Linked DNA regions of Rhinolophus ferrumequinum. The protein of the gene in region 1 purifies or fractionates together with the protein of each later gene. This does not show direct contact. Links are inferred from orthologs where the notes say so. Each region holds a gene or a part of one and is shown in the gene's direction. Other genes may lie near its edges. The genes, in order: ASF1B, CABIN1, UBN1 and MCM6.

Region 1 (7,896 bases):
GGACAAAAACGTAAAAGTCTGATAATACGAAGTGTTGATAAGGACACTGAGCAATAGCAACACTGCTGGTAGGAGTGGGAATCACGATGATCTATTTGAAGAGCAAACTGTCAATATCTAGCAAAGGTGAATACTCCCATAACCCATAAGCCAGCAATTCATCTCCTAGGTTCGTATCCTAGAGAAAATCCTGCATGTATGCACAGGGAGACATACACAACAACACTGTTTGTAACAGGTGAAAGCTGGAAACCTAAATATTAACCAAGAGGTGAATGGGTACATAAACACTGTCCAACAAAATTTTCTGTGATCATGGAAGTGATCTCTGTCCATGCTGTCCAATGCAGTAGCCATTAGCCACAGGTGCCTATCCAGCATGTGAAATATGGCTAATGTGATTGGGGAAATGAATTTTTCATTTTATTTAATTTTGATTAATTGAAATCTAAATGACCACATGTGGCTACTGGCTACATCAGATAGCACAGCTATGCAGCAGTGAAAATAAATGAATTAGAGCTATATACATGTGTCAACATGGATAAATCTCAAAAGCATTATGTTGGACCAAAAAAAAGCAAGTTTCAGACGGTAGGGCAGGTCTAGAGTGAAGGAAGTTAGGTGCCTAGGGTGAAAACTGTAGGAGGTACTTACCCTCAGGGTCATACAAGTGCAAATTGGACACTTGAGCGACCCTGAGAGTGAGCACCTCCTAAATTTTGTGCCCTACGTGCTTTCCTTGCCTTACCCTAGTTCCAGCCCTGTCAGGATCTATCTAGTATGATACTGTGTCAGGGTTCCCCAAGATCACCCCCAGGTTCAATGATTCCCTAGGAAGACTCGCAGGATTTAGCATATAACTGTATGCATGGCTATGATTTCTTACAACAAAAGGGTACAAAGCAAAATCAACCAAGGGGAAAGGCACAAGGGGCCTAAAGTCTGGAGGAAACCGGGCACAAGCTTCCAAGAGTCCTCTCCTACTGGTGTCAAATGTGACGCGCTTAGTTCCTGCAGCAGAGCTGTGACAACTCGTGTGAAATGTTGTCTACCAGGGAAGCCTATTAGAGGCTCAGTGCTAAGGTACTTATTGGGGGTTGGTCAAATACCAGAATTCCAGACTTCAGAAAGAAAGCAGGTGTTCAACATAAACCACACTGTACAAATAGTTTAAGCACCATAAGCCACTCTTACCATTTAGAGACTGCTGGGAACCCTCCTAAAATCCAAGTTCCTAGACACCAGCCAAAGGCCAGCTTTGCCAATAGGCCTTTCTAAGAATAGCTGTCTCAGGCCTCTTAGGTTAACTCTTTTTTGCATAGATATCATTTATATAAAATTGTAGAACATGACACACTACAATAAAAGACACATGCATATAAAGATGCACAACATGCACAGAAAAATAAACACCAAATCCAGGGTTGCAGTAACACTGGAGGAAAACGGGAGAGGAGCAGGTTTGAGAAAGGGCCTTTCAAATGCATCACTAATGTTTTACTTCTTCAGCTGGGTAATGAGTAAAAGTGTATTTTGTCATAGTATTTCTTAGAGTTTTTCAAGTGTGTGCACCTGAAATATTACATAAGGAGAATACAGACTTACCTGCTTATTATATATAACAGTTCATGTTTATTGCGTGCTTTTTACATTCCGGGTACTATGCTAAGCCCTTTATATGGATTTATCCTTTTTTAAAAAACCTACTGAAGACTTTCTATGTGCGAGGCCCTGTGCCAACCTCTAGAAATACACTGAGAGGTCAACATGAAGCAGGTGAGAGCTCTGCCCTTAACCTTTCAGTCTACTGAGGGATGATGGGAAATAACAAGCACAACTTAAAACCAACATAAGTACAGATTCTGAGTGCCCCTAAGATAAAACTGGGTGACGTGATTAAGGAAGGGCAACTTGAACTAGGGTGGTCCAGGAAGGTTTGACATTTGAGTTGAACCATAAATGATTTGAATGAGACAACCATGCAATTATTTGAAGAAAGCAGATTCCAGAAAGAGGGAACAGCAAGTGCAAAGCCCTACAGCAGGAATAAGCTTGGTTTGTTGAAAGACAGGAAATAAAGCCAGTTGGGCTTGAGAGTGGTGACAAGAGGGAGACTGTAGATGAGGCCTGAGAGGTCAGCTAAGGCCACCATGCAGAGCCTCCTAAGCCACAGTAAAGATCTTAAGTTTCATTTTAAGTATGATAAGCCTTTTGAAGGTTTTAAGTAGGGTAATAACATGATCTGGTTTACAATTGAAGATTATTCAGCCAGCTGTACGCATAACGCATTACAGACAGGGCCATTTTTTTCATTGGCACCACAGACATAATGCTTGTGGCTGATTAGCTTTTCAGCTAATCAGCTGAAAAGGTTGGGGCTAGGGATAAAGGGAAACAAAGTTCCACAATGTAAAAAGAAAACTACAAAGTTGGAATGAATAACTGTTTAATTAAACATCTAGAAAAATGTAACATTATGGCAACTTTATTCATCATTAAATTTAGTATTCATAAGCAACTGAATTACATTTGAAAATAATTTGAAAATTAGATTTTCTAGAATCACAAAAACTTGCAACTATGCCCAATGGTTGCCAAGAAATCACAGGCATTACAAATGTGAATTTTCTTGTAGCCAAATAGTTTTTGGGGAGAGGTCTCAATTTTTTTAAATGCAAAAAAAAGTTGTGTTTTTTTTGTTTTTTTTTTTACTTGAGATGTAGCTATAAAAACATACCTAGCATTATGAGGCTGTAAGATTCTAGGGAGGCCACAGAAGTTGCTAGATAAGAAATGCTAGTGACTTGGACCAGTCTATTCAGGCTTACTCTCTGTGAGTTTTAACACTGTCCAGAGGACTGTTGGTAAAGCTTTTCTGACAAGACATTTGAACAGAGAGACGTAAATGACAAGAAGGCACCAGCCATGCCAAGAACTGGGAGAACAGATTCTAGGTAGAGACTCTGCGCAGGGAATGCCATGTCAGATTTTTAAGGAACAAAGAGGGGGTCAGTTTGGCTAGACTGAAGCTGGGGCTGGTGGGAAACAAAGCATGTAGTCTTAAAGACAATACAGTAGTGCCCCCTTACCAGAGGAGGACACATTCCAAGACCTACCCTCCGTGGATGCCTGAAACCCTGGATAGTACCAAAGCCTATATATTCTCCTATATATACATACCTATGATAAAGTTTAATTTATAAATTAGGCACAGTCAGAGATTAACAACAATAATAAAATAGAATTATAACAATATACTGTAATAAAAGTTATGTGAATGTGGGGGTCTCTATGATATGCTGGACAAAGGAATGATTCACCTCCTCGATAGCACAGGCTAGTACAAGATTTCATCTTTCTTCACAACACTCAGAATGGTGCGCTATTTAGAACTTATGAATTGTTTATTTCTAGAATTTCCATTTACCATTAAAGTGAAGCCAGGGAAGGGTAGGATTGGGTGTGTGTGGGGGGGGCATAGTTTCCTGGGAACGATAGAAAATCACTCACGTTATATGCAGGAGGATGACTGATTCAATTTCAGACCTGAACTGTCCAATAATAATACAGTAGCCACTTGCCACAGGGGCTATGAGCACCTGAAAATAGCTAGTGCCACCCTGAAACAGAACTTTCCATGTCACTCAATTTTAATCAATTAACATTTCAATTTAAAAACCTGCATGTGATTGAGCTCATGGAAAACTTTTAAGTATGTTGGGAACAGCTTGGACATGTGAATCTACATTTTCAACTGTTAAGTTTTATAAAACTTAAAGCCAGACCAACTCTTTCTAATGAAAACATAGCTGTACTCATAAGTGTAAAACACCCAGGATTTCGCAGCCTTACTACCCAGTAAAAAATGTAAGCTGTCTCATTTGTATTTTTTACACCCATCACCTGTTGAAATAATATTTTGTTTATACTGGATTAAATGCAACATATTAAAGTTAATATTTTTTAAAACTTTTTTTAACGTGGTTACTAGAAAAATGTAAATTAAGCATGTGGCTCGAATTATTTTTCCACTAGTTGTGGGTGGTAGCAGAGAGGGTGTGTGTTGAGGTGCCTGGAGTCTTCCAGGCAACCAACGGTGCTCCAGCTCGGCATGTGGGTGGAGAGAAGTTTCTAGATGTACCATGAATCATGTCAATGAATTTTCACGGCTTCGTTCAATGAGCAGGGAAACTGTGGCCTCGTGAGCTAAGTGGCTGAGGCCGGACTCGAACTCCCAGTAATAGCGTTGTCCACCTGACACCTCCCAGCGGCCCTCGAAGGGACGAGAGCGGGATTCGAACTGGGGCCAACTCCCGGGTCCGCGCCCCAGCGCCGCGTTACCACCGCTCCATCTCCCCTCAGGGGTGAGTCAAACGTTCACAACGTTCACAACGAACTCCCCGGCCGCTGGGCCTGAGGGGCCAAGAGGCCCTCAGAGAAGCTCCAGATAACGATCACCTGCCGACAGACGCCAAAGCAGCAAACGCTTCTCCTTTCTCTTCACACCCCGCTTAACCGCGCCGCCGCTTATTTCCGCTCCTCTCCCACGAATCCCCAGCCGAGTCTTCCTCTCCTCCCGCCCCCTGAGGCTAACCCAGCCAATCACATCTCACAGAAGCTGCTTTACTCCTTTCTTACCTGCCAATCACCGCTGGCTCGAGCACCACCCTTCCCGCCCTCTTACGCTAGCGCCGCGCGCCACCGCTCGGCAGTTGGCGGCGCTGCTCAGGAATTGTAGCGTCTCCCGGAAGGGAGAGGCGAAGGGCGGGCCACGCCGGTGCGGGAACTCTCGGCATTGGCTGAGAGGAACACAGGCTCTGGCTCCGCCCACCCCGCCCTTGATATCCGAGTCGGAAACGCTGGGGATTGGTTCCCGGCGGACACCCAAAAAAGCCGAGATGGTCTCACCTCCCACGCGCAGCCCCAAGAGGGAGCTCAGCGGATTGGCCCAGGGAGTCTCGGCGCGCGCCGCCCGGCGCTCCAGAATTGGTTAAGGGGGTGCTTGCGCCGCCGGGGAGCGTTGACGGTGATTGGCCGGAGGGTGCGGCCGGCTATTTGAAGGAGGCGCGCGGGCGAGATACGCAGTTCAGTCGGCAGACCAAGGAGGCGGTAGTCTGTGAGCATCGCTGTCCGGCTGACCCGACAGGACCCAGCCGTGGGCTCCGCCCCAGCTCTGGCTTGAACTGCGGCCTGGCGAGGCGATGGCCAAGGTGTCGGTGCTGAATGTGGCCGTGCTGGAGAATCCGAGCCCTTTCCACAGCCCCTTCCGGTTCGAGATCAGCTTCGAGTGCAATGAGGCCCTGGCGGACGGTGAGGCTGGGCCTGTATGGATTCCCCCCCCCTCTCCCGTTCCCCTGGCCAACCCGACTTCCTCGTAGAGGCTCCCGCGGCCAACACCGACCTCGAAATACACCCCCAACCCTGATCTCCCCACTTCCCTCCCCGCCAGCCCCAATCTCCGCGTGGAGACTTCCTCCCACCCCCACCTCACGGCCAACCCGACCCCCTTACCCAGTTACTCCGGTTTCCCCCCGTGGAGACCTCATCATTCCCTCGCTCCCTTTTCTTCCTGTGGAGCTCCTGGGCTTTCTATGTAGAGACCTTATCCGCCGCCATTCTTTAACTTGCGGACACCCTCAGCCTCCCCATCTTCCCTGTAGCAAGAAACCCCCCACCTATTTCTGTGTAGAAAATTCTATTTTATTCCACCCACTCAGTCTTCCCCCACCCATCCCCTCCTCTCTGTGGTGAGACACTCCTGCCTCACTTTTTTCCTATGGAGACTCCAACCTCCAGCCTCCCATTTTTTATTTATACGGAAACCCTAGCCTCCCATTTCCCTTATGGAAACCTCAGTCCCCTCCCCCAGTTTCCTTGTGGCGGCCTCTCCCTCAAGTTCCCTCCTTTTCCTCCCAGTGGAGCCCCTCCTGTGACCCTTTTTCCCTGTGAAGACCCTCTCCTGTGGCAAGACCTCACTCACCCCCATCTCCCCATTGTCTCCCAATAATCCCCTCCAGAACCTGCTGATATTTAACCAACCCCATTCACTTCTTGTTTTCTACCCCAAAGTACGTAACCTAGAACCTGGCTTCCCTTCTCCTTAGCCTGGCCCCAACCCTTTATTCTTGAGCTCCACCTGAGGAGGCATAGCCTGGCTTCTAGCTCCAGTCTTTGAGGATAACTTGGTTTCCCCAGCTCCAGTTCCTACCTCCTCCCTGACTGTGTACTTCGATGAACACACTCAAATCTGAAGGATGATCTAGCCAGGCATTAGCCAGTTCCCACTGTTTGCCTGCCAGGTTTCGGCTTGACCTACTGCCATAGTTCCTCCGGCACTTCTGATGGTCTGACCTAGTCTGGAGGGTATGTGGGCCCGGCTGAGCCATGATGGTACCCAACTTCAAGCAATCAGCTGGGGGATCACAACCTTTGGGGCATCTTTTCCAAGGTTTCACTGATGTACTTATTCATCTGTGTGACATAAAGGTGGACATGGCTCTCATCTCACAGATGAGAAGACAGGAGCCACAAAGAGTGACAGACCTCGCAAGGAAAGATCTGTAAAAATCCAAAAATCTAAGGTCGCCCAGGAAGTGTTAGCACCACTTTCAAGAGGAAGTACAAGCACAAGCATACCTTGTTTTATTACACTTCACAGATGTTGCATTTTTTACAAATTAAAGGCAAGACCTTCCACCAGCAAAAAGATTACTACTCAATTTATTGCGGTGGTCTGAAACCAAACCACAGTGTCTTTGAGGTATGCCTGTACTCCATTAGACCACTTCACTGGGTTAAAGAAAAGAGGCAACAGCTGAGGAGGTGGTCTGTGAGGCCAGGGTGTACTAACTAGCGCCTCTTGATGGTAGGTGGGTGGTTTGCCTGCAAAGCCGGCCCCTGGGATTAGTTTGGGGTTGGTACAGTTTGAGATTCATGTGCTTGGGCTCAGTCTCCCTGGTTTTTCTCCTTTTTAAATTACAGAGTCTACTTGTGGCTAACTATAGAATAAGTACAGTTAAATCCTTTCTGGAACAAGGCAGGGTGTAAATAAATAAATAAAGTGTAGAATGTCACACTGGAATAAGATTTAATTTTAAAGCCAGGAGGAGATGTAAGGAGCTAATAGATTAAGGGATTCACAGTTCCCACATGGCAGGAGATCAGGTTTCAATCAGCCTGCTTGTGCTCCTTGCATTTTAAAATGGTTATGTGGTCATTTTCTAATACTTTTATTCCTATGAAGCCCCTGCTCTGTTATTTTACTAACTTGTTTTTAGAATCAGAGTAGGAAAGATCCAAAATCAACCTGCTGGTCACTATTTTTTAATAGAAACAGAATGACTACTCCATGGTCACATAGCTGGTTGGCAGAATTATTGATACTAGGGCTTTTCTCTGAGTTCTTAGTCCAGGGTTCTTTTATCTCTGCTATAACCTGGGAAAGAAAGAATGCATCCTCTATTTTAGAAGTGGAACATAAATAGAACTGATCGTAGAATTTATTTCCACATCAGGACACTCTCACAAGAGAGCAAAGGGTGTCCTGTTATTAATTACACCCAGACAATAAAGATTTTGCTCAGAGAAACTCGAGTTGCAAAGCAAACTCTAGCCTGGAAATCCAGACTCTGTTCTTCTTAGGGCTCTCTGTGACTCTGACCTGCCAGTTTGCTTTCTACTTCTTCCTGGCCCTCTTCCCATGGAGCAGAAAGAATTAGTTTCCTGCCTGTCTCCCAAAAAGATGAGTGGGCCTGACTTTAGAAGTCTCTCAGATCCTGGAGAAATCTTAATCTTATCATCTCGACACTGGCAATTGAAGATCTGACAAGACACCCAAACCCCCAGTCAATCAGCTGACCTTGTTTCCCAAGGGCTCCAAGGTCTTTTTGCTCT
Region 2 (6,881 bases), on another chromosome or scaffold:
GGTCTCCTGATCAAGAGAAGCACACGTTTTTATACTGAACCTGAAGTGGTGGCAACTCATTCAAAAAAATTTTAATTCTCTGACGATGTAACGTTATTAAGGTAGATCCTAGGGAGGGCCCCTACAGGTGTGTTTGCGTGTGAAGGGGGCGCTTTTCAGACCTCCATCTAAATTTGGGACAGGCAGCAGGAGACTACCACTTTGGAAAGCCACAGGAGACGGAAAACGTCGGACAGTGTGGCTGGATCGGAGGCGGGGCTGGTGCGGCCAGGGCTCAGCCAATGTCTCGTTAGGGGGTGGGGTTACACCGGGCTGGCGGGGCATTAGGACTTCCGGAAATCTGTGCCAGAGCACACGAAGGTTGTCTGCAGCGGTTGAGGGGTGCAGCCTAGGCAGCCAGTCAGTAGGTGCTGTGTGCCTGCACAGCCAATGAGGAGCTCGGTTTCCGCGGCGCCCCGCCCTTTTCCTTAATACCGGTCTTGGGAACACCGACCTGGTCTCCGCGGGTTTTTCCTCCGCTGCGGCACCTTAGCCATCTTTCCGCCGACATGCCGTTCGTTGAGCTGGACACGAACTTGCCTGCTGGCCGCGTGCCCGCGGGGCTGGAGAAGAGGCTCTGCGCGGCCACCGCCGCCATCCTGGCCAAACCCGAGGACGTGAGCGTGGGCCGGGGAGCACGCGGCTGGGGGAGGTTGATGGACCAGGGGTCCGGCTCTGTCCACGCCCCTACTTAACTACCAAGACCCCGACTCCTCCCAAGGGCCCCCGCCCACCACCCGCCAAACTGACCTTCCGCTCTCTATGATCTCTCAGTCCCACCCCCACCCCCACCCCCACCCGCTCGGTATTGCCTTCCCTAGCCATGACTCTGACGTGCCCTCCAAGGACCCCAGTCCATGCCCCTAACCCTGACCCTGCGGGGTCCGCGCGTCTTCGATCCCACGCTTTTGGGCCCTGAGCGTGAGCCTGGCCTGCATCAGCTTCTGGTGAAACTTTCGTGTCCCCTGCAGCGCGTGAACGTGACCGTGCGTCCTGGCCTGGCCATGGCGGTAAACGGCTCGGCCGAGCCTTGCGCACAGCTTCTTGTCTCCTCCATCGGTGTGGTGGGCACAGCGGAGGAGAACCGCGGCCACAGCGCCCGCTTCTTCGAGTTCCTCACCAAGGAGCTGAAACTGGACCAGGACCGGTGCGTAGAGGCAGGGAGAGGACACTCGAGGGATTTCTGCACGACCGGGGGCAGTGATCCTGTCTCAGGGTCCCTTCTAAGGTTGGGGCAAAAAGTAAATTCTTCACCTTGCCCAAGAAAGCTCTAGTGCCCTGGAGTCCCTTGACCCCTGAGGCCCCCTAGTGGTGGGTCCACCTTCAGACTGCTAGCAGAATTGAATGCAGTCCTGGCTATGTTGAGTGTGGTCCTGGGTGGGCCACGCTGCTGTACGGACACCATCCAGCCCCTGACATGCCTGCTGCCCTGTTGGGGGTTCTGGGGAAAACATTAATGGGGTGAGGCAGACTTGCAAAATGCCTGGTGGGCTAAGGCAGGCTGGTCTGGGAGCCCATGGTGGGAGTGCCTAGCCTATGAGTCTTGGAATGAGTCATTAGCCAAGGAGCTGATGACATCTTTTTCTGTCTCCTGAAGGATAGTTATCCGCTTTTTCCCCCTGGAGGCCTGGCAGATTGGCAAGAAGGGGACGGTCATGACCTTTTTGTGATTGGCACGGAGGATATCCAGGGCATCTGAGAGTTGGCCACCTCGTCCCGAGAGGCCTGCCTGGCAGAGTGAGGGCGTGGTGGATTCCAGTTTCTGGTACCCCCACATGCAGACAGGCCTGTGATCTCACAGTCCTCTTCTTCCCCATCCTCATGCCAAATAAATGAAAAGAGCTTTGTCTTTCAAACATGACTTCTTTATCTCCCTTTACCCCTCCAACGCATGCTGGGCTACCCTGGGGAGCAGGGTTGGTTTATGAGGTGGGGACCTTAGGGAACCTGGGAGGTGGGATGTTTCCTAACTTCAGGGCTGCTCTTTCATGTATCGTATTCAGGCTGCTCAAATCAGAGGGTGGAGGGCTCATGCTGAAGGCCCTGCTCTCCATTCCCATGTGCAGGCTTCTGGGGAGACGCTGACAGCCTGGGCTTTCCTGCAGACTCTGCTGACCAGATGTTGCTGTCCTCGGCCTGGGCAGTTCCCTGCCCATAGACTGCTTTGCCTGGCAGGGAAGCCAGGCGGGTTGGGCTTCAGGGACCTTCCCTGGCATTACCAAGCTCCATCTTCTCCCATGAGTCTTGTTGAGAATTCTCTAGCTATGTGAAACCCATGCCCCAGAATGGCAAACCTAGAAATGCAGTGTCTGCCACTGGAAACTGAATGAAAGGGATCTCCCTCCCCCATCGAAATACCATATCGTGCTTTCACATATCAGAGGATAAACATTGTATGGGCACTGTGTTTCACCCTTGTCTTTGGTGTACCAGTGAAATACCAAATTGAGATTTTTTTCAGTCTCATTTAAGTTAGTTTCCAATGGAAGGTGCCTCTGCCTGCTGTGTTTGGACCAGACCACTGCTGAGAACTCTCATTAAAAGCTAGGGCTTGGAGTTCCTTCCCCTGGCAACCTGTCCCAACTGTTTCTGCATTTATTCCTTCTGCCAACATGGGAGTCCTGCTTCCCTGAGGGGCTCCGAGAATGTGGGTTGAATGTGAATGAATAGTTAACGTGGCTAAAGAGGCACCTTTGACAGGACTATAAGGTAATAGCCTTCTAGCTGGTCTCTCCACCTTAAATCTATTACCACTCTGATGAGAATGATGTCATCGGTTGGCTGTGGGGACTGGCCCCTCCAGCATTATCTCTCCCCACTCTGACCCTGAGCTTTACACCCTGGTGACACGATGCTGCCTCCAGCCCCTGGGTAGCCTGCACTTTTTCTCACGTCCAAACCCTTGCCACACATCTTTCAAGGTACAACCTAGGAGTGGGACCTGCATCCAAGCCTGCATGTTATCCATGAAACTTTAAAATCATTTGTTTATGCTTTTGTTCACTGTCCCTGGCCCCCCAAGGCTATACTGTCAAAATCAAGGTTGATGACTCAATTATTTTGTAGTTTCTGGCATATCAGTGAAGCTTTATTGTATGGAGCTGACTCTATGAGTGCTTCACAGTGATTTTACCGTCGTTAAGGTCAAAGAGAAAGCTATAACATTCATTGCTATGTAAGCCATTCTTGCTGGACTCAAGTAGCTATGCATTTCAACCAGTGTGAAGCCCTTCTCTATAACTATTAGCTCCCAAGAGAGTAACCTCTCTCAGCCCGAGACCTTGTCAGAAACCCTTCAGAGTTGGGCTCTGGAATTCTGTCTCTCCAGCTCATTCATTTACCAGGTCTTGGTTTCTTTTCCCCTTTGTTTCAATAGTTGATGGTTATCTGTGCCTTTCGGGCTTCAAATCCTTATCAGAAAGAGGTGAGGCAAGGAATGTGAAGGGGAAGGGTCGTAACCGTTTCCCTCGTGTTTCCCAAGTTTCCGTTGCTTTCAGAGCACCTGCCTCCGGTTGTACCAACAACACGGCCCGTCATTTAGCGACCGTTCGGGGCCAGGCCCCGAGCTCGGCGCTTTCCAAGTAGTACAAGTGGTGGAGCCGAAAGTCCGATCGCAAGCTGGCGCTCCGAGCCACAACGACACAAGGAACGAAGCCTACACTCCGGAAAAGTCGCAACCCTACACCAGGCTGCTCCGGACCGCGTCGGACGCCTTCCGCAGGGTTTTTGGTAGCCGGCCAGCAGGAGAACGGCGCGTGCGCCCTCACTGATTGGCTGGCGGAGCCGGCACCGGAGCCAATGGGAGTGCTCCTTGTTGTTAGGCGCGCAGCCGGCTGGTGCGGGGGTCGGGGCGGACGGGCTGTTGCCGGGGAGACGCCTGGTGAATTCCCGGGCAACGGGTTTGGGAGAGGTCTTCGGTGTGGGGGCAGGTCTCTGCTAAGCCTAAGGCGGCAGCGGGGTCGCGGGCCTGAGGCCCTGCGGGCGCAGGGTCGAGGCTACTGTGGACGCAGGGGGTTTCTGGGTAGCTCCTGTGCTACAGTAGGGGAAACCGAGGCCGGAGAGCGGGAGCAACGAGGCCAGGCTTCCCGGCTGCCCCGCAGGCCTCTTCACGGCTTTTGCCGCCGCCCTGGGGTACCTAGGACCGGCTCCGGCCTCGTGAGTGGTTTACAGTGACAACAACTGGAGCTACCATTGATTCGGCGTTTGCCGGTGCGAAGCCCGGCGTAACCCTTGACTCGCGCGCGTCCTTTCACTTCACCTTCACTGCAGCCCTGCGAGGTGAGTGCTGTTATCAGCGTCATGTACAGGAATGGAAACTGAGGTCGAGAGAAGGTGAAGTGACTTGGCCAAAGTCCCCCAGCAAACCAGTGGGTCAGCCCGACTCCAGACTGAAAAATCTTAACTGCACTGTTTCCCTGGTGCAGCCTGGCCGGGCTAGATAGAGTTGACACTCGCAGTTGTCTGCACAAGTGGCTTTGTGGGAGCCACGTAATTCTTTGGGACCAGTGTTACTAGAGGTCGTAACCATGGGGCACTGGGATTCCGTGCGGCGAAAGGTTCCTTCTGTGTGTGATTAATAACTAGTTAGAACTAAAATATCCTTAGAGTGGTCTCGTTTGGAGTTGGCAAACTTTTGTTGTAAATATAAAAATATTTCTATCTGTCTATATAGATTTGCCTGTGGACATTTCATATAAAGGGGATCATACAATATGTGGTTTGTGACTGCTTTCTTAGTGTACTGTTTTCATGGTTTAATCCATGTTGTCAGTATTTTTATGGCTGAATAATATTCCATTGTATGGGTATACCACATTTTATTTATTCATCAGTTGATGGACATTTGATTTGTTTCCACTTTATGGTTTTTATGAATAATGCTGCTATGAGCATACCTTCATTTTAATTTTAGTAGTATATTGCTTCATTGTGTGCATGTACCATAATTTATTCATCCACTCTACTATCTATAGCCATTTAGGTTTTTCCCAATATCTTGCAATTACAAACAATGCTGCAGTGAATAACCCTGTGCATACGTATTTTCCTGTTGTTGGAGGTAAATCTTCAGGGTAGATTTCTGAGAAGTGGAAATGCTGGGCAATTGCATATGTAATTTTGCCTGTCGTCGAATTTCCCTGCGGAAGGGGTTGTACCAAGCTGCATTCCCATCCACAATGTATAACAATAGTTCCTGTTTCCCCACAACCTCACCAACAGAGTGTGCTGTGGTACTTTCATTTTTGCCAGTGATAGGTGACAAATGGTGTTTCAGTGCTGTTTTCATTTGCATTTCTCTAATTATAAGTGAGTTTGAACATATTTTCATATGTTTGAGAGCCAGTGTGTGTCTTTTTTGGTAAATTGCTCGTATGTTTTCCCCATTTTTCTATCAGGTTTTTCTTTTTCTGCCCTCAGGGTTTTTTTTTTTTTTTTTTTTTTTTTAAATTCTGGTAAAATACACTTTACATGAAATGTACCATTTAAGCTATATTTACATTAATGTACCTTTCCATGGCACTAAGTACATCCACATTGTTGGCAGCCATCCCCACCATTCATCTCCAGAACTTTTTCTCATTTTCCCAAACTAAAACTCTGTACCCATTAAACAATAACTCTCCATTCTTCCCTCTCCCAGTCCTTGGCAACCACCATTCTACTTTCTGTCTCTGGATTTGCCTATACTAGGTGTCTCATATAAATGGAATCATATAGTATTTGTCCTTTTGTGTCTGACTTGTTTCACTTCGCATAATGTGTTCAAGGTTCATCCGTGTTGTAGCATGTGTTGAAATGTCTTTCTTTTTTAAGGCTGAATAATATTCCATTGTATATACACACCACATTTTGTTTATCCATTCATCTGTCAAAGGACACTTGGATTGCTTCCATATTTTGGCTATTGTGAATAATGCTGTGTCCCTCAGTTTTTAAGAGCTCTTTATATATTAGGAATATTAGTTCTTTGTGGTGTATGTTGCCAATATTTTCTTCCAACATATCAGTTGTCTTTTGACTCCTTTTGGATTTTTAAGAAAAATTTTTAAATTTTCCAGTTTTATTGAGATATAATTGACATATAGCAAGCACTGTATAAGTTTAAGGTGTCTAGCATAGTTATTTGACTTACATATATTGTGAAATGATTATCACAATAAACTTAGTTAACATGCATCATATATAGATTCAAAAAACTACTTTCCTTGTGATGAGAAGTCTTAGGATCTACTCTTTTAGTGACTTTCAAATATACCATACAACAGTGTTAGCTGTAGTTATCATGTTGTACATTAATTACACCCCTAGTACGTATTTATCTTACAACTAGAAGTTTGTATCTTTTGACTACCTTCGTCCAATTTCTTCTCTCCCATTCCCATCTCTGGTAACCACAAATCTGATCTCTTTTTCTATGAGTTTTTTTTTTTTTTTCGTTTTTGTTTTTGTTGGTTTCACGTATAAGTGAGATCATACAGTATTTGTGTTTCTCTGTCTGACTTATTTCACTTAGGATAATGTCCTCAAGGTTCATCCATGTTGTTGCAAATGCCAGGATTTATTTTTTATGGCTAAATAATATTCCATTGTATATCTGTACTTTGTCCATTCATCTGTTGATGGACACTTTGGTCTTGGCTGTTATAGGTAATGCTGCTACGAACCTGGGGGCACAGATATCTCTTCGATACAGTGTTTTTGTTTCCTTAGGATATATTCCAAGTAGAGGAATAGTTGGTTTATATGATCTGTTTTTAATTTTCTGAGGAACCTCCATACTGTGTTCCATTGTAGCTGTACCAATTTACAATCCCACCAACAGTGACAAGCATTCCCTTTTC
Region 3 (7,927 bases), on another chromosome or scaffold:
ATTTTCCTAACCCAAAATTACATTTTCCTGTAAGAATCATAAACAGAAATACAACTACTTAAAGAAATCAAACCATCTAGCTAGAACTAGGTAATCAACTTGATGTAGTGATGGGAACGCGAAACAAATCATCAGAATCTCAAGCAAATACCTTCTTCCCCACACTGTGATTTCTTATATGGCCTATCAAAGAATCTCATATTAACGATTCTGATTTCAACTCTAGGACAGGGCTAGCTAAATGTTACAACATTAAAGCAAGTCATTTAGTTTCCCAAAAGAAAACAGATTAAACAATTACTTTTATTAAGGTAAATAAAATTTTAGTTTTCACTGTCTAGCTCATGCATGAGCCACACTGATAAACAGCCATTAAATGGGAAACCAAATTGGTCCTATAGGAGGAACTGCCTATGGAGTTGGCAAGAGAGGTGTGAGAAACTCTCAATGTGATTATTATATTTAGAAGGTGGTGAGCCCTAGTTCTCACCTGACTGACACTGTTATTGGCCCCAGGACAATTTCTGCAAGGTAAGAATAGCACCTTTTCTTTAGGTATGAAGCCAGAATGATGCCATTTTATAGACTACCTAGTAGGACTGAACTAGGGTCCACAGAATACTCTCAGAGCAGCTCAGACCCAGGCCAATGCCTAAACAAAGGGAAAGCGAAACTCTTGGTGAGCACTACTCACTGATCCTCTGTTCCAAAAAACTTCACAAAGAAGCACTTCTTTCCACGAGGTTTCTTCAAGTCCTTGGGTGGATTAACAATCTGGGGGATAAAAGGGAAAAAAAGGTTTTTTCCCACCATTCTAAGTTGGTAAGAAAAAAAAAATCAAATAAAACAAAAGAAATGTCTTAAAAAGAAAAAAACCGAGCGCCTAGTATGTATCCAAATTTGGCACTTTTCTACTGAGATGTGTGGAGATGTACAAATATTCCAAAGTTCTCTACATCTAACATGTGGCACATCGTTCAGTAGATACGGTATTCCTTTACTGCAATGCCCCTGTTTTAAAAGCAGTTAAAACTAAGACAAATATCATCCCCTCATCCCATGTGACCCTGTCATCACTGAAGAAATGTAGAGGACACTTTTAAAAATACTTCTGTGAAGGAAGAGTTGAGACAGGTAATAGTGACAAGGAAAGGCAACTGAAGCACTGAAAATACCATATTGCAAGGAGACAGTCTAAAGACATTTCCTGGGCTCCTAGCAAGAATATAAAAACAGAACATTTGGAAAGCTATGACGGATCGCCTCATGCAAAATTTGAAATGCCAACTTCTGCAAAGATGCACTGGAGCAGCACATATGGTAACATAGAAGATTTAAACTTAGTTGGGACAAAAATACTTTGACTTTTCACTAGTCTACATTTAGATTTCTATCTTCCTGGAGAATTTATTTTCTTCTCCTTTCGTTAGATTTAAGTGTAAAGCTAAATTCAAATTAGAATTGATTTCCAGGGTTAAAAACCTCCACAAAACCATCTCTGATTCAAGAAATAAGCATTTAATGAAGATTAAGTGATCTGGTTTATATTATATTGCCTTTTCTAAATGAACTGATGTTCCAGAAGAAAAAATTCTGTTACTTAAAATAGGCAGTTTAACTCAATGCTAGAAATTGAAGGGAATGCATCTTACATTCTCCACCTGTTCAAACCCAACTTCAGATGTCTTCCTTTAGTTCAGTAGCAAGAGACTCACCTTTCCTGGCCAAGGAGGATACCTGCCGAGTTTCCCCCTAGAGAAAACACAGAGAGTCAGCACTTGCCCTGGAAAAGCCAGTCCATCTTCTTCAACCCACTCAACATGCAATTTATTTTCCTAAATCTCCACTTGCATCCTCAAGTGCCAGAACAAAAGCTGGCACACAGGAGTTCTTAATCTGGCTTCCCCAGTTGGACTCAACAGGCCCAAACTCCTCAGAAATGGAATGCAAAATTGTATACCTATGTGCATAAAGTATGTACATTCTTCTGGTGACAAGGGATACAGAACAACAAAACCGCCAAGAGCCACTTGTCTAGAGCCTCCCCGTGACGGGGGTGGGGGCCAGTTTGCTCTGTAAACACAGACTTCCCCTTACAAAGTCTGGTTTAATTCACCGCGAGACCAGCTGGCTTTGCCAAATGCTAATGGAAGCCTTCCTCTGGGTCGAGAAATAAGCTACGCAGCTCGACCGAGGCGGCGACAGTCAGTCTTGGTTCGGGCGGTTGTCTGGGACACAGAAGAAGACCACAAGAGGCACCCAAAACGGCACTGATCACTGCCAAGCCTTCGGTTGTAAAGAAGAAGTCTCCTCTCCATTTCTTCACCGGGCAGCGCCATCAGTCCGGTTTCGACACCCTTGGCCAAGCCGCCCGCAGAGTTCGGTTCCATTGCAACGCTGGTTTTAACGGGCTTGCCGGGGCGAGATGGCCTTGAGGGCTCCCCCGCTTTACAGGGAACCCCAGCAAGACCCCGAGGAACCCGCACCGCGGGTGGCTCCAGAAATGCCCCTCACAGTAGCCGTCGGCGTCCGGGTCCGGAGCTCAGCTCTCTCCCGGGCGGCCTCGGAGCCCGGCCCGCCGCGGCCACCCTCGGCCTCAGTCCCCCGGGGCAGGGCTGCCCCTTCCGCCCGGCGTCGCTCCCAGCACCGGCACCTCGTCTCGCCCTCTCTCCGCGGCCTGGAGCGCCCAGAAAGGCAGCTCCGGGGCTGTCCGCCAACCCCGCGCCCAAAGGAGCAGTTTCCCGTCGCACCTCGCTTGGCCCCGGACGCCCGGACTCACCACACCAAATCGCCGAGCCGCAGACTCACAGCCGCCATCTTACCACCCAACCACCACCGACGCACAGGCCGCCGGGAACTTCAGGTCGCCCCGGCGCCGCCCATTGGGTTGAGTCCGGCCACGTGACGGGGGCCGGCTGTCATCGGCCACGCCGCTGCTCTGACGTCGCCACGCCCGCCGGTGCTTATTGGCCGGCTAGGCGGCACGTGACGCGGGAGCCGCGGTCTCCGCGCGCTGGAGCCGAAAGACTCCCGGCTCCTTTCCCCTCCCTTCGGCTCGTGACAACGAAGCGCCCGGGATCTGAGGCGGCGGCGACGGCGGCTGTGCGGCCGGTCCAGCGCGCAAAGGAGCCGACCCTGCGACCCGCCCCGCCTCCGGACCCTGGTCTCCATTCCCCTCCCCCACGGCGCTTCCGTTACGGCCGTTAGTCCCGCGCGGGCCCCGGGGCCGGCCGCGTCGCCTCGCGGGCAGCTACCCTGACGGACCTCGGCGCGGCCTGGAAGCCAGCCTCCGCCCGTGCCCGGGGCCCCGCACCCGGGGTCCCGCGCCCGGCGGGCTCTGCGTGGCCGCGCCCGGGGGCGAACGGGTCCTTCAGAGCGCGCTTTTTGCCAGCTGCGTCCGGGGAGCGGCTCCGAGCCGGAGCCCGTGTCCGCGCTTCAAGTTCTCCCGGGGCGCCAGTGCAGCCCGCCTCGAGGTTCCGAGTTGATCGGCCGACGTGGAGCCAGAGTCTCTCCACTTCCTCCTGGGCCGGCAGACGGCACGGCCAGCGAGGCTCCCCCGGGCCCGCGGGGACCCAGCCATGGGCCGCGGCGCGGGTTGGCCGCCCGCCGGGAGGCATGGCTCCGGGACCGGCCGCTAGCAGCGCCGCAGCCCGGGCTCCCGGGCCGGCATGAGGACGGTCGCGGGGGGACAAGTGCGGCCCGCGGGGCCGTAGCTTGCGTCGCGCTGGGGACAAAGGTGCGTGTCTTTGTCGGGACCGGGCTCTCACTTAAGCCGAGTTGTAGTTTGACACTTTTGGAGAAGTTAGGAGCAGGTTGTTGTGACAACAGGGAGGCGGATGCCAGGCGTAGTTTCAATACGTGAAAACAAGCCGTTGAATGAGGAACTAGGAACCGTTCACAGAGACTGCCCAAACGTCAGATTCCTGCTAGAAAATAAACATTTTCAAAAAGTCCCATTCCCAATTACAGACCTCAAGGACTCTTAAGTCAAGTGTTGACTTAACTTAGACTGGACTTTTCTTGAGTCGCCGCCTGCTTGAAAAGATTGCAGGTCCACACACATCTATCTCCCTTAGGCGTTTTGTTACACGGAGACTTTGGTTGTATGTGGGATATTTTTGTTTTTGTTTTAGCGAACTGGCTTGTCCACAGCTGGTTTTTCACTGGAATTCAGTTTCCCTAAAGTACTGTCAGTTTTAGGAACTGTCATTTACCGTCTTGAATTGTTTCAAAGACCAACCGATAATTTAAAGCACATTTGTGATTCCAGGAAATAATTTCATAAAATTCAACATATGTTTCTGATTTTAAAACTCTTAAATTTTGAGGATTGAGGGTTATTTTAATGACTTGATAAAAAATGTGAATTTTAAATTAACTTCACACTTGGCCTAGAGGCATTCCCGTTACAGTCAGGAACATGGCAAAGAATATATTGTCTAATATTATCCTGTAAGTTCTAGCCAATGCAGTAAGACCTGAAACAAAAACGAGACACCATTTTTCAGAAAGGAGACAAAATTCTCATTTCTGTGGATGATAGGACAGCCTATTTTGAAAAAAAGCCTATTTTGAAATTCAGTAAAGAAACTAATTAGAAACTCAGCATACAAAATTCAGTTTTTCTATGTTTCACCAATAATTAGCTTGAAAATACAGTAATTGAGAGGACGTTCAACAAAAAAATATATCATTCCTGGGAATAATCTGAGATACAAAAAGAAGCTAGCATTTCTTGGGTAATATCAATTGAGGGTTTTTAAAAGGGATGTTGTTTGTAGAATACTGTGCTTAGAATAAGGTTTAACTCCTTAAAGGTGAGTACAGGCATACCTCGCTTTATTGCACTTAACTTTGTTGCCCTTCACAGATGTTGCGTTTTTTACAAATTGAAGGCAAGACCCTCCACCAGCAAAAAGATTACGACTTGCTTTATTGCGGTTGTCTGGAACGGAACCTGCAGTATCTCTGAGGTATGCCTGTATTTAAATACTTAGGTTTTCTTTTTTTCAATAATTTTTTTTTTTTTTAATATTGGGGAACTGTATTTTTCCAGGGCCCATCAGCTGCAAGTCAAGTCGTTGTTCTTCAGTCAAGTTGTGGAGGGCGCAGGTCAGCTCCAAGTCCAGTCGCTGTTTTCAATCTTTAGTTGCAGGGGCACAGCTCACCATTCCTCTGTGGGAATTGAACTGGCAACCTTGTTAAGAGCTCCTGCTCTAACCAACTGAGCCATCAGGGCGCCCCCTTAGGTTTTCTTAAGGCTTTAAATTTTGCTGACAAATCTTGTTTCATTTACAAATCTAAGAATGTTTTTGTAAAAACAGAAGTACTTCATCTTTGACAGAGCTTCAATTAAGGCACCAGTTTAACAGATTAAATTTTCCTAAACAATAAGCTTTTTATTACAAAGTTAAATTCCCTTAAATGTGTTAAATTGCATTTGAAGTTTTAAATGCTTGTTCTCTCTAATACTTCAAACTTCTAAAACAGGGAACTTATAAACCAAATAGTAAAATCTTTCCAAGGACTTAGCTTTTGTAAGGCTAATAAATGTATAATGGTAAGATTCTTTTAAAAGAATATTTTTGAACCTAGTTATATTTTCTTAAGGATTTCAAATTAAAATTGTAAGTCTGACGTCAGACATTAATATGTCTGAATCTCTTAAACGTTTCTAATGGCCTAGTAACAAGCAATAGCAGTTATCACGATGACTAAAAATCTAAAAGGCTATAGGTTTGACTTACATGATTCTCTAGTATTATATCTATAACTTCTCAGGCCTGCAAAGTCACTTAAACAACTAAGGGAAGCAGTTTTACTATCTAGGTGGATTGAAGTTACAATGTCTAAAATTTGGGCCAGGTCGTTTCTTGGCCTTTTGGCTAAGATCAAGTGTAAAATTTGGGCCAGGATAAGGGTATATTTTAAAATTACTGCCTGGATTGGGGCAGGAACCTGGTTGTCACTTCTAGGATGACCTTCCTGTATCCCATCGGTTACTTGCAGATTCTCTTTTTATAGTGAGACTTTGCCTGTCTTATCGATGAGGGTAACTTTCAAGCCTTCAACCTTTAGCTGAAATTTATTTTCACAACCCAAGTGTATCACAAATGTCCTGGGGGCCTCGAAAGTTTCCTTTAGAGGAATTTCTTTCAACGTCTTAATGCCCGATGGTCTTTTGCACCACCAACCTGTTTTGCTGCTAATCACTTTGCTGCCTCATTAGCATTATTTTAACTATTTTTAGATATTTTACTCCTTTGTCTGGTATTATAGATCACAGTTTATCGTCACAATGGAAAGAATGAGAATTGCGTGTACTATATAAATATCTTTATATATGTATGGGAATATATGATATAAATCTTTTTGAATTCATATTTATGATTCATTTACAGTTAAAATGCAGTGAGTTTTTTGGGAACTTGTCAAACTGATTCTAAAATTGATCTGAAATAATAAATAGGCTGGAATAGCCAAGTATTTTAAAAGAAGAAGAATAAAGATGAATGTTAAAATCAAGATGTTAAAATATACCATAAAATTTCTTAAAACAATATGGTACTGGTTAAGGAATGTTTAGCTACTACATCAATATGATAGGATGGATTTCAGAAATAGACCTTAACTCTCACTGTGTTAATTGATTTCAAGGTTTTTTTCCCCAAAATGTGTCAAAAATCCACAAAAAATAAAAAGTTGATATTTTGACTATTTTATGCATTTAATAACATTTTGAGCTGCTTTGTACATAAATGACATTTTTATTTTAAACATTTATTATGTGGTGATAAATTTATCATTACCTTTAATTTTAGCAAAAACCACTCAAAGCATACTAAGTGGTATCAATTAGATATAAGTATAGATATATTAGAATCTAATGGCATTGATGACATAAAAATTTATTACAAAATGTTACACAATATGGCATACAAAACATCTTTGTTGTTGATAGTGCAAGCCACAGGAAAACACATCCGAATGTCACAGCAAAAGAGTTAAGATATCTGAGACGTTATACATAGTATATACCAAATCAGCAGGGCAAAGAAGAATTATTTAGTGACTGGTGCTGGGAAGAAACCAAGTTAGAGCCTTACCTCTCTCCTTATAAGCAGAGTAAATTCAACGTGAAAGTTAGATCTATAAAAGACTGGCTAGGTAAATTCTTACATACGAATTACCTGGTTGGAGAAGGACAGTTTAGGCACAAAAGAAATGGGAGAAATTATAAGGGAAAAGAGCCTAGTTTACTGCATAAAAAGTTAAAATTTCTTTCATCATACCTCTGAGCAAACTTAAACAGAAAATAACAATGAAGAAAATGCATTTGTAAGAGATATGACAAATGTTACATAGGTAATATATATTATATATCTACAATATATCAGAAGCCCTTAAAAATGAACAAAAAAGACTTAATTTTTTTCAACCATTTCCTTAATGCTGGACATTCAGGTTGCTTTTATCATTTTTCCTATACAAACAAGGATGCAATGAATATCCTTTTTGAAGCCATATGATAAGTGCACAGCATGATGGATTTTCACAAACTCAGTACACTCATGCAACCTTTACCTCATGCAGACTTTACCTGCTAAGACATTCACACTAGAATGTCAGTTTCAAAAAGCAGGACACAAATCATACATGAAGCACAAAATACATATGCATGTGTATATGTAGTATATTCGCATATTTATATTCTGTAAACCCTTGGAATTCTGGAGTTTACAATATAAGCTGACCATTTCCAAGCAACTTTGAAGGTCTTTGGCATGTGATAATTTGTCGCTTGGTCGAGGCCCAAGTTTGCGTGGTGAGAGGCTGGTGCATTAGGAAGTGAGCCCTAGCCACGTCACTCCTAAGACAATGCCCAGGGTAGGCATTACTCTGAGCTGGTGAAAACTTTGTCATTCTG
Region 4 (7,928 bases), on another chromosome or scaffold:
AGATATGACTGGATTCTGGTGCAGTTCTAAGTGAATGCTCCTTTATTGCACACATCTGTGTGAAGCAAAAGACTTCTCCATATTTGCCTTTCGAGGAGGAGGAGTGGGATTAGCTAAGGCCAATGTTCTTGGAGAGAGAAGGGCTATATGCAGGGAAGCTGCCAGCCTATCTGGCGCCCCTGCACAACTTGGAACAAAGTTCTCCTTACTCCAGGGTGAATGGCTGGCTGGTAGAGTCGGACTGGATTTCAGCAGCCCCTGACCCTGCCTACCATACGTGGTGACTCCAGCCATATAAGTGGAAGAGGGAGCAGCAGGCCTTCCTGGAGTGAGACACTCACATATTCTATCACAGAAAATGAGGCCTGTGTAGTCTTCCCCTCTTCTCCTGGGTTCTCAGAGGGAAGGAGTAACTGCTGACTTGGGTGACTGTCTCTCTCCTTGCACCTCTGCTCCAACAACCCATGGTTTCAAGTTCCAAAACTTATGTCAAGAGTCTCTCTACTCACACAGAGCAGAGCAGATCTCTCACAGTCCACTCTCTGTTTGCAGGCCAACTTAGCAAGAGTTCTGCCACTCACTCTGCTTCCTCACCTCCATTCATGCCCTTGCAGTCTCACTTCTACCCCTTTCGTATTCCTGAAACTTGTTCCACCATGTTCAGTCTCTATCCTCCTTGACAGCTCTGCAGCATTCACCATTGACAACAATTAGTTCTAGAATCTTCTCTTGACTTTTCAGGTTCTCCTCCTATTTCTCTGGTTATAATTTCCCAGTCTCTCCCATGGCATTTTCCTTCTCAGCTTCCCGTTAAATGTTGATATTCCCCAGCGTTTTATGCTTGGACCTGCCTTCTTCTTTTTCTTCAGATGCTTTTTGAGTGACTGCATCTACTTCCAAAACTTCCCCACCATCTCTTGTGAGGATTTTTCAATCTGTTTCTGCTGCCCAAATCTCTCCTAAACTTGAGAAGAAAAAAATCCTGTTAATTTCAACACACCTTTGCTTATCCAATTTTTTAAATAGAGTGGTTTCATTTTATAATGTTCTTGAAATATGTTTTGCTCAAAACCTTGGAGCTGAAGACTTAGGTTATTCAATGTCTAGAAAATGTCCACCACATAACCCACTTAGTAAAGGTTGTTCTCATTGTAAATCAATCAGATAAATCACACTTACTGTTTTGTTAGGAAAAAAATAATCCAACTTTGTTTTTCAGTTCAAACAAACATGGTAATACCTGTTTCAAGAAATAGTCTAAAAGCCACTGGGAGACAAAATATGGAACACATTTTGTAAAACTGATGATTATAAAAGCAATCAAATAAATATTAAAATCATACATATATAAAATATTAACTAATCAATTTTTATAATAGCTGTAAAACACAAGTAAAATTATATGCAGTTTCTCATTTCTTAATTAACAATATAATGTAGGGTACAGTTAAAATGATGTTATTATGAATTGAGAAGTATTATGGAAGTTTTAAATATTTTTTCAGTACTGTGTGTATGTAATTCTGGTATTCAGCTTTTTGAAAAAATTAAATAAGTATTATATAAAAATAGGTAAAAACTGCCATCAATCCTACTGCTCTCTCCACTAATTTGATAGACATCATGATCAAACTTCTCATATTTTTAAGTAACTAAAGAGGAAGACAAATGACTAAAAATACATTTAGTCATTTATTGTTAAAAGTAATTTATCACAGCTAGCATATAATTTTCTTACTTTGTTAATAAGAGGTAGGATATGTTAAATATTTTGTAAGATGAAGATTAACCGTGTTTGGAAGAAACTTTTTCTAATATGATTTGATAAATATCTTACTGAATATTGCATATCACCTAAAATAAATCATGTAAAAATTTAATCTGCTGACTTTATTCAAAGTAAGTTGAAGTGTTAGTTAGGAAAATATTAGTTAGATTTAAAAGAATCAGTATCATCAACCCATACTGCTACAGCTGTTTGAAGGAATTTTCCTTCTAAGCCAAACATACGTCTCAGGAAAAAGAGCCTTTCTGTTGTAGAGAGTCATTCTGAAATAGCTACATATGAAATGATACGGTATCTAGGATTTGCTTCAAAACTATAAGGGAGTGGTGAGAACTGTGCTTTGCCTCTGTGCTTTACCTCCCAAAGCACAGTCTAAGCAAAAGAAAAACATCAGACAAATCCCAATTGAGAGATGTTTTGCAAAATACCTGAGCAGTATACCTTAAAACTATCAATGTCATCAAAACCAAGGAAAGTCTGAGAAATTTCAAAGAGCAGAGGAGACTAAGCAGACGGGACAACTCAATGTAATGTGGTGTCCTGGATGGGGTCCTGGAAAAGAAAAAGTACATTAGAGGAAAACTAGTGAAATCCAACTAATGTATGGAGTTTAGCTAATAGTACTGTACCAAAGTTAGTTCTTTAGTTGTGACAAATGTACTACAGTAAAGTAAAATGTTAACAGTAGGGGGAAATGGGCACAGAATAATGTATGAGAACTCTGTACTATCTTTTGCAACTTTTAGTATCTAGATAATTTAAAATAAAAATATTAAGATAATAACAATGTAGAGGGAAAAGTAGATGGAGTGTGTGGTTTGGACAGGATTGGCCACACGTTGATGGTTATTGGGGTTATATAATGGGAGTTCATTATATACTATTTAGACTATTATAAAATAAAAATGGCGTTATTTTATTATTCTACATTTGTGTATGTTTGAAATTCTATTATAAGAAGGTTAAGAAAAGAACATATATTGTGTTGGGGGTCCACAAAACCATCCTCAGTTTCAATGATTTGCTAGGACTCGCAGGACTCAATATATAAAATTGTACTCACAGCTATGATTTGTTACAGCTAAAGGGTAGAAGATAAAATCAGCAAAGGGAAAAGGTATATGGGACAGGCAAAGTCCAGAGGAAACTAAGTACAAGCTTCCTAGAGTCCTCTCCCTATGGACTCATATAGAACGCACCAATTTCTCCCCAGCATCAAACCATGACAGTACACATACCACATTTTCTACCAGGAAAGCTCATTAGAAAAGCCCAGAGTTTTTCTTGGTGCTGTTCAATAGGCACTGTCTACCTAGCACATATCAAGATTCCAAATACTACTCAGAAGATGTTCAGCACAAACCACATTGTTTGTACAAACGTTTTAGGCACAGTGAGCCATCCTTATCATTTATGGGAGGTGTCATATGATACCAGTGTAGGGAACTCTTTACCAGTCAAGCTCCCAAATGCTAGCCAGTGCTCAACCTTGCAAGCAGGCCCTTCTAAGGACAGCAGTCTCAGGCCTACACACACACACACACACACACACACACACACACACGGAGGCGTACAACTCCTGGGATATAGCACAGAGCTGCTTCATAACCCACACCTTCCTCCTGAGGTATCCCACAACCCTCACTTGGAGACCTCATCTGCTATTCTGGTCCAGAGGTGATGTCTGAAGGTGGAAGAGAGGACCTGTGAGGTGTGTAAGGTTGAAAAGAGGAAGTCTCAACTTTCTCTCAAATGGGCATAGCTGCAAATTAGCCTGTAATTCTACACTCTTGTTCTTTGCTTTTTTTTTTCCTTTGGTATGTGGGACTTTAGTTTTGAGAAATCTACCCCGAGAATAGAAGATGAAGAGAAGGTAAAAAATGGAAAAGAAAAGAATGAGGCCTTTTGAGAGTATTAGGCAACCTGGTCAGCATACTACTCCTAAATATCTCCTGGATCCATTCCTAGTAGATGAGGGGTGTGAATAGCATGAAGCAGGGTGAGTTTGAGGTTCCTAAAATACATACAAGTAGTGATGTCCACAGGCAGGCAGATTCTGGAGCTGGGGAAGGGTTGAGGGATGGACACAGAGCCTCAAGGGTTCTCATCCTCTTCAAATGAGGTAATACATACAATCTCCCATCCATGACAGTACACTAGCAATGAGCATTTTTGTTAAACCTTGTGAATATCTTGTGAAGTGTGTGTTAAAAGAATTACTATAACTTCTGTCACCCTCTTTGACATTGAAAACATTTTTTTAATGTGCTGAAGGCCTCAAAAATTGAAAGTGGTCCAGGCTTCTCTTAAACTCTTGGAGGCTCAAGAAACAGTATCAGCTGTTGACACACATTTGTAAGTCATCAGCACCCAGATGTTAATTGAAGCCAAGGGACTGAAGGGAGTAGCCCAAGAGAGCTCCTTTATGGGAAAGGAAGGCTCTGGGACTAGAATATTTAAGGGACTCACTGAAGAAGACTTGGCGCTTATAAAGGAGGCTAAACAAGAATGGCCAAAGAGATAGGAGAAAAACCAAGTGAAACGAAGTCGGAGAAAGATGACCAAAGAAAGGGGAAGAAAAATCAGGAGGTCACAAGCAAGGAGTGCGTTGAAGAGAGCAATTAATCAACAGAGTCAAATATTTCGCTGATTTTCCCGGGTCAGCATTGCCAGCATAACTATGCCAACTCCCCATGCCCGGTACTGTGTGTACATCCATGTTCGCTCTTTTAATGTTTTACCCTGGTTTACAGTTTATTTCCTCCGATGAGACGGCCCAAGCTGAGGGTCTGACTCTTACTCATTTTTCTCTTCCATAAAGCCCTACGCTTACTGCTCAATTAATGTCAGTGGAATGATGTGAAGAACATTTGAAAAGCCACACAAACAACGATATGGCCTTTTTAACATGCTCTAGAAGCCAGATTCCCCAGGACCCAACCACACTGCGCAGACGCACAGGCAGACACCCCCCCACACACACACACACACACCCCGTTTCAGCAGGTTTTTGCTTTTGGCGCGAAATCCCCGCTTCGTGGGCGGGACTAAGGGAGAGGTCTCAGCGTTCTTCCGGAAAGTTTGGCGCGAAATCTCCGTGCTCCTGCTTCGCGATTGGCTGCGGCCGGCCCGGGCCACGACGGGCGGAGCTGCGGCGGCGGCGGCGGCGGTAAGCGCAAAGCCGCCGCGTCGGGGAGAGGCGACTCGTGGCGGCCCAGCGTGTCGGCGCCTGCCCCTCGGCGCTGCACAGCCATGGACCTCGCGGCGGCAGCGGAGCCGGGCGCCGGCAGCCAGCGCCTGGAAGTCCGTGACGAGGTGGCGGAGAAGTGCCAGAAGCTCTTCCTGGACTTCTTGGAGGAGTAAGTCCGCGGTCTGCCCTTTCTCGCCGAACTTCCCCGAGCATCCCCTCCCAGCTTTAGGAACCCGGGAAGCCCCGTGCCCGAGGGCAGGGTTAAGGTGTGTGGCCGGCGGTTGTTCCGGAACCGCGATCGCGCGCCTTGGGGAGCGGCCCGAGCCCCAGTTGGGGCTTAGCCAGGCCCCCGCTAGGAGCTAGGACCGGCTGGCTTGGTTTGCAAGGGTGAAATCCATGGCAAACCCTTCCTCAGGCTCTTCTTGTGCCCCAGGCTAAGCGCTTTACTCCACCATTCAGTCTTCACTACCTTAAGGCTGGTGGTCGTGTCGCCCCCGATCACCTGTGCGGAAATTGAGGCCCCGGGACGGTAAGTGACGTCCGGCTACGCCACGCGTGGGCAGGGTCGAGCGAGAAGCCGAACTGGCACTGGAATCATGGCAGACGCCCGAAGGGACTGCACAGCCAGGACCCTGGTGTTGGCACCCAGGTCCCTGGCAACCCGGGAGCCTGTGGAGATGAAAGGACTAGAGTGTTCCCTGTGGTTTAACGTGCTGGGGTGAGGGTGAGCCTTACCCTGCTTAGAAGTAGCTGAACATTCTCCTTTCCGTCCTTTCCTTCCAAACCCCGCCCCCCACTTCTTTTTCCGTTGCCTTCTGGGCTCCTGGCCTCTCGTACCCCCGCTCCCCGGTTCGATGCCACTGCGGCCAGTTAACTGTTCTTAGTGTAGATACTCACTTCTTTATTTGAGAGTGTGGATTCTGCTGCCTCGGGATGAAAGGTAAACATTTTGGAATGTCCTATGAATCCTTTATTTACTTGAAAAATATACATCACATAAAATTTACCACTTAAATGTACCACTGTAAGCTTTTTTAAGTGTAGAGTTCAGTGGCATTAAGTACATTCGCCTTGTTATGCAGCCATTATCACCATCCTTCGCCAGAACTCTTCCCAGACTGAAACTAGGCACCCAATAAACAATTACTCCTTTCCCGGCACCCCCTCAGCACCTGACAACCACCATTCTGTTCTCTGCCTGTGCGGGTGACAATACCTCATGTGCTTGGAATCATTAAGTATGCGTCTTTTTGTGACCAGCTTATTTCACTTAGCATCCATGTTGTAGCGTGTGCCAGAATTTCCTTTTTAAGGCTGAATAATATTCCATTGTATGTATATACCACATTTTCTGTGTCCATTCATATGTCCGTGGACATTTGGGTTGTTTCCACTTTTATTGTGAATAATTCTGTATTACAAAATTGTGATTTACTTAAAACCATAATTTATATTTCCCTACCTTCGGCAATGTTATTCTCTGCGTGACAGATATTCATCCTTCAAAGCTCAGTTAAAGATTCACACCTCCTTTGTGAAACCTGATAAACCGATCAGACAACACCAAACCTTTTTTCCCTTATGTTCCCAAGTTGCCCTTTTCCATTATATCTGGTAATATCGTTTCCAGTATCTTTACCTGTCAGCCACTTCATCTTCAAGGTAAATCCCATCCTTAACCCCACCTAGCCACCACACCACATTACTGAGGTCCTCAATGAATGTTTCATTTCAATGATATCATTACCTTCACTACCTTGCAGTTTACCATGCAGCTAGATGCTAGGGATGATGATGAACAAAACAAATAATCCCTGTCCTTCGTTGGGGAAAAAATGCTAACTCTCTTTAAAAATACCAACTTTGATTTGCCATTGCTTATGGAAAAAGTCCAAATTCTTCACAGCTCCTCTCTTCAGTTTCATCTCCCACAGCCAGCCTGTCATCATCCACCTTCCTTCCAGACCTTTTCTTACTGCCACGTACTTGTAGACATCTGTAACCAGTCTATCTACTGCTTGTTTTTCAGATTTTAAGTCTTTCCAGGCTGAATTCCAGTGCCACCTTTTAGATGCATGAAGCCTTTCTAGATGTTAGGTAGAATTACTTTATGTTCCCCTATCACATTTCTTGCACTTCCCCCATTTTTTTCCTTTTTTCTTCTATTATGGAAAGAACACTTACATGAGATCTACCCTCTTTACAAATTTTTAACTGCAATATATTGTTGAGTATAGGTACAGGGTTGTTGTACAGTAGATCTGTTAGAGTTTATTCATCTTCCTTGAGTGAAACTTTTTACCTGTTGATTAGTACCTCAACGTTTTCCACCTTCCTTCAGCCTGGCAATGACCATCCCACTTTTTGATTGTATGAATTTGACTATTTTAGGTGTCTAATGTAAGTAGAATCATTATTTCACTTAGCATAATGTCCTGAGGGTTCATCCATATTGACACATGTAGCAGAATTTCCTTTTTTAAGGCTGAATAGTATTCCACTGTATGTGCATACCACATTTTTTTAAATCATTTGTGATGGACATTTAGGTTGTCTTGTACCTCTCTTTAGTAGGAGTGTCTCCTGAGAGTGTCAACCCTAAGGCAGGAACAGCACTCATCTGCAGCTTCAGTTACATAGTGCTTTTGCAGAGTCGTTCAGTAAATCTTAACAGAGTTAGAACATGCTGTATTTGAAGGAGGAATTGATTTTGCCTCAAAACTGATCTGCATATTATGTTAAAAGAACGAAAAGCAAATATGTTTGTATGATACTTTTAGAAAAAACACACCAGCTTTATTTTGTGTGTATGTTCCCATTTTTCTGAGGTCTTGGGCAGTGAAGAACCTTATTTCTGTGTATTTTTATTCTGTTCGGTTTTTTCCCCCTTCTTCCGCCTCCCCCGCCACACACACACACACACACACACACACACACACACTCTGGTTCAAG

Evidence for each region.
Region 2: the proteins of ASF1B (region 1) and CABIN1 purify together in Homo sapiens (affinity purification with mass spectrometry; 3 studies listed by BioGRID and IntAct, counting the BioPlex papers as one, with this or other methods). This does not show direct contact. The link is inferred for Rhinolophus ferrumequinum from reciprocal best matches to the Homo sapiens genes ASF1B and CABIN1.
Region 3: the proteins of ASF1B (region 1) and UBN1 purify together in Homo sapiens (affinity purification with mass spectrometry; 3 studies listed by BioGRID and IntAct, counting the BioPlex papers as one, with this or other methods). This does not show direct contact. The link is inferred for Rhinolophus ferrumequinum from reciprocal best matches to the Homo sapiens genes ASF1B and UBN1.
Region 4: the proteins of ASF1B (region 1) and MCM6 purify together in Homo sapiens (affinity purification with mass spectrometry; 4 studies listed by BioGRID and IntAct, counting the BioPlex papers as one, with this or other methods). This does not show direct contact. The link is inferred for Rhinolophus ferrumequinum from reciprocal best matches to the Homo sapiens genes ASF1B and MCM6.

The regions. Positions count from the first base shown.
Region 1 is NC_046301.1:47,878,724-47,886,619, forward strand, and holds the start of ASF1B (histone chaperone ASF1B), read left to right. Parts: upstream 1-4,894; 5' UTR 4,895-5,204; coding exon 5,205-5,313; intron 5,314-7,896. UniProt on the Homo sapiens protein: Histone chaperone that facilitates histone deposition and histone exchange and removal during nucleosome assembly and disassembly. Cooperates with chromatin assembly factor 1 (CAF-1) to promote replication-dependent chromatin assembly.
Region 2 is NC_046308.1:22,513,623-22,520,503, reverse strand, and holds the start of CABIN1 (calcineurin-binding protein cabin-1), read left to right. Parts: upstream 1-3,876; 5' UTR 3,877-4,317; intron 4,318-6,881. Other genes in the region: DDT (D-dopachrome decarboxylase), read left to right, coding at 549-656, 1,011-1,186, 1,637-1,709. UniProt on the Homo sapiens protein: May be required for replication-independent chromatin assembly. May serve as a negative regulator of T-cell receptor (TCR) signaling via inhibition of calcineurin. Inhibition of activated calcineurin is dependent on both PKC and calcium signals.
Region 3 is NW_022680357.1:5,961,214-5,969,140, forward strand, and holds the start of UBN1 (ubinuclein-1), read left to right. Parts: upstream 1-4,911; 5' UTR 4,912-4,973; intron 4,974-7,927. Other genes in the region: GLYR1 (cytokine-like nuclear factor N-PAC), read right to left, coding at 695-774, 1,716-1,752, 2,780-2,817. UniProt on the Homo sapiens protein: Acts as a novel regulator of senescence. Involved in the formation of senescence-associated heterochromatin foci (SAHF), which represses expression of proliferation-promoting genes. Binds to proliferation-promoting genes.
Region 4 is NC_046291.1:82,500,743-82,508,670, forward strand, and holds the start of MCM6 (DNA replication licensing factor MCM6), read left to right. Parts: upstream 1-4,912; 5' UTR 4,913-5,038; coding exon 5,039-5,145; intron 5,146-7,928. UniProt on the Homo sapiens protein: Acts as a component of the MCM2-7 complex (MCM complex) which is the replicative helicase essential for 'once per cell cycle' DNA replication initiation and elongation in eukaryotic cells.